Linked DNA regions of Drosophila melanogaster. The protein of the gene in region 1 interacts with the protein of each later gene in a biochemical or structural test. Each region holds a gene or a part of one and is shown in the gene's direction. Other genes may lie near its edges. The genes, in order: Dab, sev and drk.

Evidence for each region.
Region 2: the proteins of Dab (region 1) and sev form a complex in vitro, tested with the Drosophila melanogaster proteins (one study listed by BioGRID).
Region 3: the proteins of Dab (region 1) and drk form a complex in vitro, tested with the Drosophila melanogaster proteins (one study listed by BioGRID).

What each region holds. Positions count from the first base shown.
Region 1 is NT_037436.4:16,711,653-16,715,407, forward strand, and holds the start of Dab (disabled), read left to right. Parts: upstream 1-2,007; 5' UTR 2,008-2,559; coding exon 2,560-2,668; intron 2,669-3,755. UniProt on the Drosophila melanogaster protein: Together with Abl, involved in embryonic neural development. May have a role in eye development. Acts as an adapter protein for SH2-domain containing proteins during sevenless (sev) signaling.
Region 2 is NC_004354.4:11,084,700-11,088,454, reverse strand, and holds the start of sev (sevenless), read left to right. Parts: upstream 1-2,155; 5' UTR 2,156-2,259; intron 2,260-3,755. UniProt on the Drosophila melanogaster protein: Receptor for an extracellular signal required to instruct a cell to differentiate into an R7 photoreceptor. The ligand for sev is the boss (bride of sevenless) protein on the surface of the neighboring R8 cell.
Region 3 is NT_033778.4:13,500,828-13,504,582, reverse strand, and holds the start of drk (downstream of receptor kinase), read left to right. Parts: upstream 1-1,741; 5' UTR 1,742-1,892; exon of another isoform or gene 1,893-2,658; 5' UTR 2,659-2,692; coding exon 2,693-2,770; exon of another isoform or gene 2,771-3,109; intron 3,110-3,574; exon of another isoform or gene 3,575-3,755. Other genes in the region: mars, read right to left, coding at 41-1,547.

The sequences.
Region 1 (3,755 bases):
AGAGTGACCGCAGCAGACTGCGAGCAAAGTGACCGTTGCAAGGTTGTGGTGCAATATTTTTCGATGTCTTGCTATGTTTTTGAGTTCTCTTTTCGGCCGTAATGGCGCCACTGTTTTGTGGAGAAATTGCTTTGCAGTGTGACCATCTATTCGATTGTAGAAAATACCAAGAAAATTTAAATCATCATTTAAAAAAGGATCTTCAACGGTTATACGAGTTTTAACGACATAATATCTTGATAGCTAATCGAACTTTAAGGTACCCTTGGTATAAAATCTTTACATTTTTTTTTTCTATCAAAGCTTAACAGAGAAATTTACTATTATAGTTTCAATTTATGTCAAACCTTTGTATAAACATATGTAATTGTGTGTACCGCAAGTACGAGCAATTACCTATCGGTTGTCGTCGATAGACCGATAGCCTATGTACCGGCTGGCGTACAGGGTGCCCGCGGCACTTGACCCACCACCCTCGAATCCTTGGAGTTTTACTATCGAATTTTCGGTGTGTGTGCATATCCTGCTGCTCCCAGGGCGTAGGACCCAAATTAAACTACAAACCCATTCAAATTGGGTTAAATTAATGGCCAATAACATGCAAAGCAGGAAGAACGTAAAAATCAGCTTGTAAATATTTGCCAAAAGAGTCGAATTGGTTTTTTCGCTCAGCCAAAATCACGAGTGTGTCACCCACTTCTTTGTGCTTCACTTTTTTTCCTGGCTGCCAGACAAAGAAAGCTGCGCGTGTTGTGCAATATTAAGACGGGAAAGGATCAAAAACAACGAATAACAGTTAATTGAAGTTAGATAGCTTACCGCTGCATAATGAAAGGCGTAGCTACATCCCTTTCCCACCCCCCACAACGCCTTAAAGTAGGCAAAGTGGAAGTAAACACGCACACAGAGGCCCCCGTTGGAAAATCGATAATCCGTGCCGTGTCCGTGTGAGCGCGTGCGAGTGTGAGTGAGACAAATGCCGGTGTGTTCTATCGACCGACTGGCACAATAACAACAACAACAAAACGCTGACTGTCAGGAAGTTGGGGAGTGCGAAAGAGACGGAAGACGCAAAGAGCGAAACAAGTGTAAACAAATCACAAAAGGCAATTAGCAATAAAACAACGAAGGAAGTCCAATAAATCATAAATAAATAAAGCTCTTTAAGGCTCAATCATTATTCGCAACATTATACGCGGCCAAAGGAATTACTACACGAATGCCAATCAGCTTTTTCTGAGCAAAATGCAGACGCTGCGCAAGAAAACGAGTCCTTGTAAATGTAAGTAATACAAATAACACCTTAAAACGGAATTTTTTCATCTATAAAGTCTTTTTAAAGTAATTCTTCTTGTGGGAAGAAATTTTTTTTCTTGAAATTTTTGCTAGTGAGGAATGATGAAATTATCAACTAAAAACGCAAGCCATTCACATTGATTTAAATTGCAGTGTTTTATGTCAACAACGAATTTATTTGGTATTGTCAATTGAATTAGGGTATATTATGTATTTTGAACACAGGCATCCCTACTTCGAAGTTCTAAAGTAATATTTCTGAAATCAGTAAAAGAAAAACTGTCCTAAATTGTTTCTCTTTAAAGATACTTTGCCCTTTTAACAGCACTGCATATCAAATTACACTCATACGCCATGTTGTAGAGACATGATAGACCTTTTCTAGGTGGTAAATATTTTGTCAGTCAACTTTTCTACTTTCCTTCCTGCATCTCCCTCGCACTTCTATTATCTGCGTAATTCGACCATAGCGTTCTCCTTTGTTTACTTAAAAAGCTAATCATACTTATGAGCAGGGACAAAGTAAATTCCTCACCATTAAGTAAAACTAAACGTTTTAGGTTTATTTCTGGCCGAAGCTAGCTTTTCAAATTCCGATATATCCTATTGATCGATCCCTCGATTCAATGCTAGACCCGGCTTATCGATAAGCGTCTCAGACAGCATCCGCCAATCGAATAGCAGCTGCTGCGCCGGCGTCGCAGGTGTTGCAGTTTTCCCAAAAAAGATCAACAATGGCCGAGAGAGCTGCTCGTTTTCTGTACTGTATTTTGCGCCACAAAAATCACTAAATAATAGAGTGAAATCTATGTGTACACACGAGTGCCTCAAAGAGTGTGTGTGTGTGTTTTTGTTTATTATTTCAATTGAACAAACTGCGACAATCCAGTCCAGTCGAAAAAGAGAGTCACCGTGAGAGCATTCGAATCGTTTCCACGCTCTCATTCGCTTTTATTCATTCCATGATCGCGCATCGTTCTCCGCTAGAATTTAATTAAATCTATAGCGTCGCGAAAAATCGTTGTGGAATTTATGTATTGTTTGTCCCCCATTGTGTGCCCCCTCCAGCACCAACACCCTCTCGTCATCGTCCGCGTCCCAATGGAAATGTCAACACACACACACACAACAGAGAGGCCCGGAATGCTACACTGATTCTGTTGACACTTCGGTGACCAGAGTTCCAGAATTCCAGAGTTTTTCCAGCCAGCGTTTTCCCAATGAGCAGGAGCAGTACCCACTGAGACTTCGGCCGGGCGAAACATGGTCAAGTCCCTGGTGGCCAAGTTGTCCACAGCCTCCTCCAATCTCTCGTTGGCCAGCACCTTTGGCGGCGGCAGCGGCGCGGCAGAGGAAACGAATTACGCAAAACGTTAGCGAAAACAAACTAAGCAAATACACAAATAACAAACAAACGAACACAGTGGCCCCTCCGCAGTGAGAAAGGGCAAACAAAACCAAGATACAAACATATGCGAAGATCACAGTGAAAATTTTTTTTGATATTGTGCTGATAAGACGAAGCTATATATAAAAAATCAATATTGGTCCTATCACTATAGCAAATTGAGATTTACTAATACAATAAATGCTGATATTCAAAGAATCGAGTTCTTTATAAAAAAATCTGAAGATAAAGAAGATGATCAGAAGAAGTTTTTCAGTGTACATACATGTTTAAAAATCTTTTAAATTCTACTTAGACGTTCAAAACTGTTTTAGCATTCAGTATAAAATTGTAATAAAGATGCTTCGGAAGGCAAAGAAATAATAAAACTGTTTTTAAATCATAGTTCCCAGCGGAAGGAATGAAAAGTGATGCGAAATATTGAATAGAACAATGAAAGTCTTCTTGATCTTGAATGAAGATTTTTAAAATTTCAAATTTGATATACCACAATAAAAAATATATAATCCATATAGATTTTGCATTCCATCAAAGCATCATTTTAAATATTGGATGATCCAACGAGGAACACAAGTGTTCATTCAAGCACATAATTACTCGAAAAATTTGAAAAATGAATCATTCAAAATATTTTAATGGGGATTCGGTCCAATAAACCCAGATTTGTGCACAATCCATAGAGTTTTGTCGAAATGGATTATACTTCTTTTGATAAACTAATGAGTAATTAGTTTGCTTGCCATTTCATCTTATATTGCAAATATTAAAGCATTTTCTTTTTAATTTCGGACTAGATGGTTTAATTATATTATAGTTCCGTTTCCTAAATACTCCTTTTGTAACTTTTTTATGTTTAAATTTTTTGAAATGTTGCCAAAATTTGTAACAGTGCTAAATAAAAACGTTCATAAATGTGGGTTCTCTCAAAATAAATCAGCCACACCCCAAATCCCACGGCTTCCAAAACTGACGAGTGACCACTACACTCTGTAAAACATTTTCGCCAAACCAAAATTATCCGAATACACACCTTAACAAACACAAAGACTCA
Region 2 (3,755 bases), on another chromosome or scaffold:
CGTTTCGATGTTTTGGTTCGCGCCGGACGATCATGATCATCCAATGCCACCAAGTCCATTATGCAGACAGTCGGGCACTGGGGCATCGATTGGTGGTGAATCATCCAAAAACAGTTCCCAAATCGACACAATACACCATTTAATATAATATAATTTTATGTTACGTTAAGCAACCAATTGAATTGCTTTACAACGTATAAACTAACTCTAGTTTCTCTTCAATTGTCGATATAAATAAAACCTTTTACTCAATAAACTGAAAAAGACTAAAACATCAATGACTAAACTGAGAGAAAGAAATAAATATTTTTATGCAAGACCAATTTGTAGTGCTACAAAATTGCAAATTTCACTACAGTTCAAGATTGAAAAGAGTTTGCATGCAAAATGTGCACAATACGTCAATCAGAAGGTGAATTTCCGGGGTTGTCCCTTTTTTTTTCGAAAAAAATGCGAAAATCTGATTTTCACGTGACAGTCTGTGAAATAGGTATGTAGCACCTAGTCCGCCGGCGAATCCATTGAGAATCGCTCGGGTTGATAAGCCGCATCTTCCGTCAAGTGTGTGTAATAAGTTTGCCGTCTAATCAATTCCAGAATATTTCAAACGATTAGTACGAATTCGATGATCCCAGGCGGGAGATTGGATTTCCACAGATTATTCGGGCCAAGAAATTGTGCGCACGAGTGCAGTTTGGATGTCTGCGGCACATCCTTTCCGTTGGCCAAAAAATCCATAAGCGAAAGGGATACTTGGACTTGATGGCGGAACCGGAAACGGAAGCTGTCACGCAAGCCTTTCACTCGCCGCTCAATTTTTCATCCCGCAGTGTCAGTTGTATGAGTCACGAGTCATGTGTAACCGGAAAATTGCCTACTCTTGTGTGCTTCAAATGCTCGGAAAATGCTTTAAAATATTGCATATTTCTTAGCTTGCGAGTTTTTGATTCTACAGAGTAAAAAAAAAATACCTAAATGTTTGTGTAAATCAATGAAATTAATAGCTTAACTTGTTTTCTTCATATTTCTCGGTTAAAAAGTTATGGAAATATGATATTTTGTAGTTTGATAGAAAATTTTTAATGAAATTTCTATGACTTTCCACATCTCGTTTACTTTTCATGGAAATACACTTCTATTCACCCCAATTGATGACTTTATTTTCTGATTGTGTGGGCTAGTTCCCTATTGAATTCAATTATTTTCAAGCGTTTACTGCTGCTTGCGATCAATTAGTTTAATAATCAATTTAGGTGTGCTGTTAATGCTTAGCTAAATGTAAAGAGTGAGTCAGCTAAACGATTTAAACAAATTTTCTGCCACGTTTATTTGTTGGCGAAAAAGCGCGTTGATTTGCGCTATTCATGTGACGATGTTTAGAGTAAATTGAGTTGTATTTTAAATTATTTCTGTTAACATTTGTAAACGAATAAAGTTTTTTTCCATTGCAAGAAGTTGAAATTTAACCCTCTTTGGATGTAAGCTTTTCAATATATTTAGTCTTAATAAGTCTAGCTCAAAAATAAGTACTATAATTTAATAATTATATACATTTTACATAGCCTCGGCCCATTACCTTAATTTTAATGATACAAAGATGTTACTATGTAAGTCGGAAGCTTATTAAAAACCGAAAATCATCAAATCAACTAGATGCACAATGTTAAGATCATGTTTTTATTAAGATTATATTTTAGATAGATACTCTTGAGGTGGCATTGGTTTCTTGAGATGGAAAATACATCTATCTATCTATGTATCTATAAGAACTTAAATATCTGGCGGCCTGCTTGCGATCTGCGATCAACCGATTGAGTTGAGCTTTGACCCATGGAAAGAGGAGCGCGGTGGGCTATCTACCCATGATATCCAGTTTAGGGGTTGCCCTGCCAATGACGTCATAGTTGCTGCGTCAACGAAAAAGAAGATCAATGGTCATTTAAGATCGGTTCGGTTCAGTTCGGTTCGGTTGCGGTGCGCTTCGTCACTCATCGTTCATCGCATCGTATGGTATCGTATGGTATCGTATGGTATCGTATCGCATCGCATCGCTTCGGTTCGGTTTCAGTTCCGTGCTCAAGTTCTCCAGCTGGGGGGTTGGACTTGGACTTGGAGCTTGGGGCTTGGTTAAAAAGCCGCCGCTCGCCGGCAAATCAGTTCTGCTGCGATCGCGCCACTGCGCACTACGTAACGCTTCGGGAATCGCACATCCAGATCCAGATTCAGATCCACATCCAGATATCTGTGACATTTTGTCGAGTGAGTTGCGTTCTCAAAGATACAAGATACATCCGTGCGCGTATGTGTGTGTTTGCATGAATTTCGGCTCTTTTAATACCCTTTTTTTTTCGCGTGCACTAAGTGTTCCTATGTGTGTGTGTGTGGAGTTGCTTTTCAGTTGGGGCCGCAACTGCAACAATAAAATGCAATTAAGCCGCTCAAATCAACAATAAATTGAATTAAAGCGCGTGAACAGCGCTTAACAACTTCAACAGCGGCGATTCGAGCGAAATGTGGGTGAGAGTTTAAGGCTCCATCGGTTTTGACTTTCTGATTGTACAAATATGTATATATATATACTATAGCATACATACCTTCGACTAATTAATGCAAAACGCTGGCCGGCAGCTTTTGCATAATATTCTCTGAATAACTTTAATGCAATTAATCCCGCTGTGATCTTTCGTGTTTTCACTATTTCGCGCGGTTTATTCAATTTGAATTTCAATTTATTTTCGGTTTTTCTGTTTCATTTTGTTTATACATATATATATTTGTTCGGTCTAGTCTGCTCATCGGGCGATTTAATTAACATTTTCCGTGCTGCTGTGCTGTTGTTGTTGCTGGTAAATATGAAATTAAAGTGCAATTAACTATTATATATACATATATATATATATACATATATATATGTATATCTATGGTTTTGCTGAACTTGCGGACAAAAGGGATTTCCGTTTTTGAAAGTGCGACTCCGCTCGATTATTCTCCGTCCGTCGAATGTGTTTGCATCTTAATGAGGATAAATTTGTTATGGCCACTTCCCGTTCGCTATTGTTGTTGTTGTTGTTGTTGTTGTTGTTGTTTTTGCTGTGGTCGGTCGAAGGGGGCGTGACTTATTGGCCATGCATTACGCCATGTTAATTGAAACTTGTCGCTTGGCTAGCTGATTATGCAGACGCCATATTAATTGGACCATGGACCATGAGAGCATGGACCATCCATGTCCTCTAATCGAAATCCCGGCGACATTTGGATGAGTTGGGCGGTGGAAGCTGGCCAAACCAGTTACGGAGATCATTGGGATTTTGGCTTATCGATCCGGACTTAGATTGTGTGTGTGTGTGTTTGTGTTTACCCTGTTTATCTCGCCGGCAATGTGCGTTGAACCTTTGAGCTGCATCTGAAATAAGTAGAATGCAATGTAGTTAAGCTTTTTCTTGGGGTATATTCACTTGCCTACTTATTTTTATTAATTATTTTCCAAATATATCAAATATATATCAAATATATCAAATATATTATATACATCAAATTTTCAAATATGCAAATATCATTTAATGCTATTGGTACAGCTATTAATCAACTATACATGTAAATTGTTTATGCTTGTTACACTAAATTGAGTAATAATCCGGAAAACTCATGATAATTGACGGTTTGACAAAAATGATAGTAATATAGCATTTTGCAAGGGCAGAACTGCCACTTTGTAAATACAGTGATTGGAGTATCTATTAATTAGACAAAACTTG
Region 3 (3,755 bases), on another chromosome or scaffold:
GTTTGAGTTTAAGATTGGAGAAGGCGTATCCCAAACTCACCCGTCGTCTGCTGAGGATCCAAGATGAGCGAGTCCTCCGCCGGCGAATTCGCCACTGAGTAACGCGTAAAGTCGAACTTTTTCTTTGCCACCGGACCTGACGCCTCTTTCTTACCTTCCGGCAGCAACTGCCTTTTCACCGAACTTTCTCCTTCAGCTTTGACCGGTGCCACCGGGCTCAACAAGATGGTGTCGCCAAACGCCTCCAAAAGATGACCGCTGCTATTGTTCGACTTGCACTGCGTTGATGTGGCCTGGTCGATAAAGGGATTATGGATATCGTCTAGCGGCGTGAGAGGCGGTATATCTAGCGTGGCTGCGTGCAGCAACTCGGCTTTGAGCTGAGGAAGCTTTCGCACGTTGTCCTGAAGCCTCGTGTACTGGCTCTTTATCTTGGTGGCCTTCATTCGTATGGAGTGACTTGCTGCCTTGCTGGTCGCTCCAGCTGTGTCCTTGAACTTGGCCGCGGCACCACCTCCGCCACGTATAGGCTGTGGTTTCACGACATTCGCCCGTCGTGTCACTGGTGCCTTGTTTCCTAAAGGTTTCTCGAACGGCTTGGACAACACATTGGGCAGTCTAGCTGTCCGTGGCGCTGGCGGCTCAGGTAATCTTGGCTTTGTGCTGACCACTGGTGGCTGTTGTCGTATGCCTGGCGTTTTCGCTTTCGTGACTGTCGCTGGGGTGGGTCTGGGTATGGTGGTAGTGATCTTTTTCGCTTCAATCCCAGGCTGCCTTACACTGGTAGTTTGCTTCGTTGTGTTGGGAATGGGTCGTGCAGCTGCTTTTTGCCTGGCCAAGGCCACTGGATTGTTGTTCTGACGAATTGCAGGCACTATTTTTGTTGCAGAAGCAGCTGATTTATGCCTGGCCAAGGCGGAAGATGCAGCCACGGTATTGGATGACGGAGGAGCTGCTGCTGACGTTGGCTTGGGTATTGAAGGTTTAATCGGTTCTGCGGCTTTTCCCTTGCCCGTCGGATTGGCAATCATGTAGAGAGAACACCGCTTGGGAGGCTGGAACATGGGAGCCGCCTCCTTCTGCTTTGCAGAAGCCAGATTATCGGGAACCCGAAATGTTTGTGATTTGGGCAAGGCCTTTGATTGTTTTACTGTCGGCACATTGATGGCTGCGCCTCGACGTTTCTGGTCTTGCTGCTTATGCTCCTTGGTCTTGGCTATCTTCCACTCCATGTAGCGTTGTAAGTAGAGCTTCTGGCGGGAGACCTTCGGGTTGGATTCCTTCAGCAGTTCTGCGGGCTTCGTGTCCAGCCGCTCCGGACTCTCCAGTTTGGGTGCCACATTTTCCTGGGTCAGAGCAGCTTGGGCCGCCGCCAATTGCTTTATTTTGACGGGCGTCGGGCTCACGCTGATGATGCGGTTCTGATAAAAACAATCCTCTCGTTTTTTGGCGCGCGCCGCCTGCAACCGATCCCTGTTCTCCTGGCAGTGATTGCGCGGACTCAGCACCAGCGATTGCTCCTTGTACAGTTCCTTGTGGCGCTGCATGGCGACTGCTGTGACGGATGGGCGAGTCAAACTGAAGTGTCCGGTTGGGAATGAAACGTAATGCTGACTTTTCCGGCGAAGCGTCTCCTGTTTTGATTTTTAAAATGGCGAAGCGTCTTGCGGTGTGACCAGGTGAAGGAAAACTACGAAAGCCCTGCGGTATGCCTCTCCCACAGTGTTGTGTTCAGTATATTTTCTTGGAATAATAAAGCGACCCGGCCACGGTCACGCTGCTATGAAAATAAAAGTGAATTACAAATTTAGCAGTAGTAATATGTTAGCCAAACCGCTCCCGCGCCTAATTAGTGTCGCTTAAGCTTGCAGCCACCCTAGCCCTTTGAAATTGTAAGCCCGGCGGCCTCTTTGCACGTGCCAGAGACTCGAAAATAGTTAGCCGCAACTTACGCATATAGAAATATAAGCGCCGCGTGTGTGTGTGTGTGTGTGTTTATTGGGGTTACAAAAAATAAAACAAACAACAACGTCACCGCGGCAGCATTGCCAACAGCAAGCACCCACGCCCTAGATTGCCAAATGTTAATTGTGTTCTAAGCGACACATTTCATATTATTTAAGGCAAATTACTTCGCATAACAACAAGTAATAGCCAAACATCGTCTAATTGCTTTTGCGGTACCTGCTTTTCCCCGAAATTCCAAATCGCAAGCTGCTGGCAACGCTGCCACGCTCACGCACACACACCCACACAGTGGCCGCCGTGGAGAGAGCGGCTCGTGTCTGTGTTCATTCTCTGTTGCTGCTCCGCCTGGGAATGTCGTCGTCGTCGGTGTATTTTTAATCGCTTTCTTCCCTTGCCTTCGCACAAGATATATTATTATTAACCGAACTGAGAAAAGCGCACTGCCGAATATCCATGATTTATCGTTTATATAATGTGCGCTAACTAATCGCGGATTCGTCTCGTTTCGTTTTCATTTCCACAGCACTGAGTAGTGAGTGAGAGAGAAATTCAAAGAGAGTTAGAGAGAAAGAGCAGAGAACGAGCGTGTGTGTCTGTGCCTCTGTGTGTGCGTGTGTGTGGTGCATCAAGGCTGATAGAACTAAATCCAAAACTACAATTGCAACTAAATTTTAAAACAAACTCCGAAAGCGTTTTCTAACTGCGCACAAAACAACACAGCAAAATGGAAGCGATTGCCAAACACGATTTCTCTGCGACGGCTGACGACGAGCTGAGTTTTCGCAAAACTCAGATTCTAAAGGTGAGTGCTGTTCCAAAATCATCAATTCCCACCTCAAATCATAATATCTGCATTTATTCATAGACTTCACACTGAATGGGGGCACGCAAGGGTGTAAGGGGGTGCACAGGGGGACGTGGCAGGTCCTGCATGCATAATCCGCTGCGATGCAGCTGCCGCCGTCCAGGTCGTTGCCTTAACCCACATCCTAGGTTCAATCCCCAGACAGATTTTGTTACTAAATCGCGACCAAACAGACAGCAGTCGCAAAAGCTGGCTAAAGAGTTTCAAAAGGTGCATTCGCAGAAGGCAACACGAAAGGATTACGACTCATTAGCCACCGCAGCCCGAATACTCTTACTAGAACGAAAAGATTCAGTCAAATATATTCCACTATCAGTACAAAATCCTTGTGAAGCATCACATACTGAAATATTGTACATTCTACTCTACATTTTTTCATTTCTCAACTGCACTTCAAATCTATCAAGACCATATTTTTGACCCCATTTAATCTGCATATAGTTGTGATTAGCATTACAAAGTAAGTTTAAAAAATGATGTGAGGAGGGGGTTTCTAAAGCTATAAACATGCATATATGATTTAATCTATATACTATACTTTGCAAATCTAGCATTTTTCACTGTGTTTCCTTGAATGAACTTATTTATTGTTAGCATTCCTATAGTATATATACTATTTCAACTTTCCTTATTCGTTTTCTTCCGAATGCTTAGAAAAACAATTCCAACAGTTTGTAGTGATGATATATTCGATGCCCCCTTTGACTTTGCGGAACTTTGTGGGGGACATCCGATGCTTACCCGTGTTGCTTGTATTCGCTGGCTTTTCTGGCCAAGAAAAAGGCTGCTGGCAGGCTGCGATTCGATCTTTTTCGCCGCCTTGCTTCCTTCCAGGTGTTTGTGTTTGTGTTGGCTCACTGGCTCGATGGCTGGCTGGCTGGCTGTCCTAGGCCAAACCCTTTGTTTTGGCTGGCGAATTTTC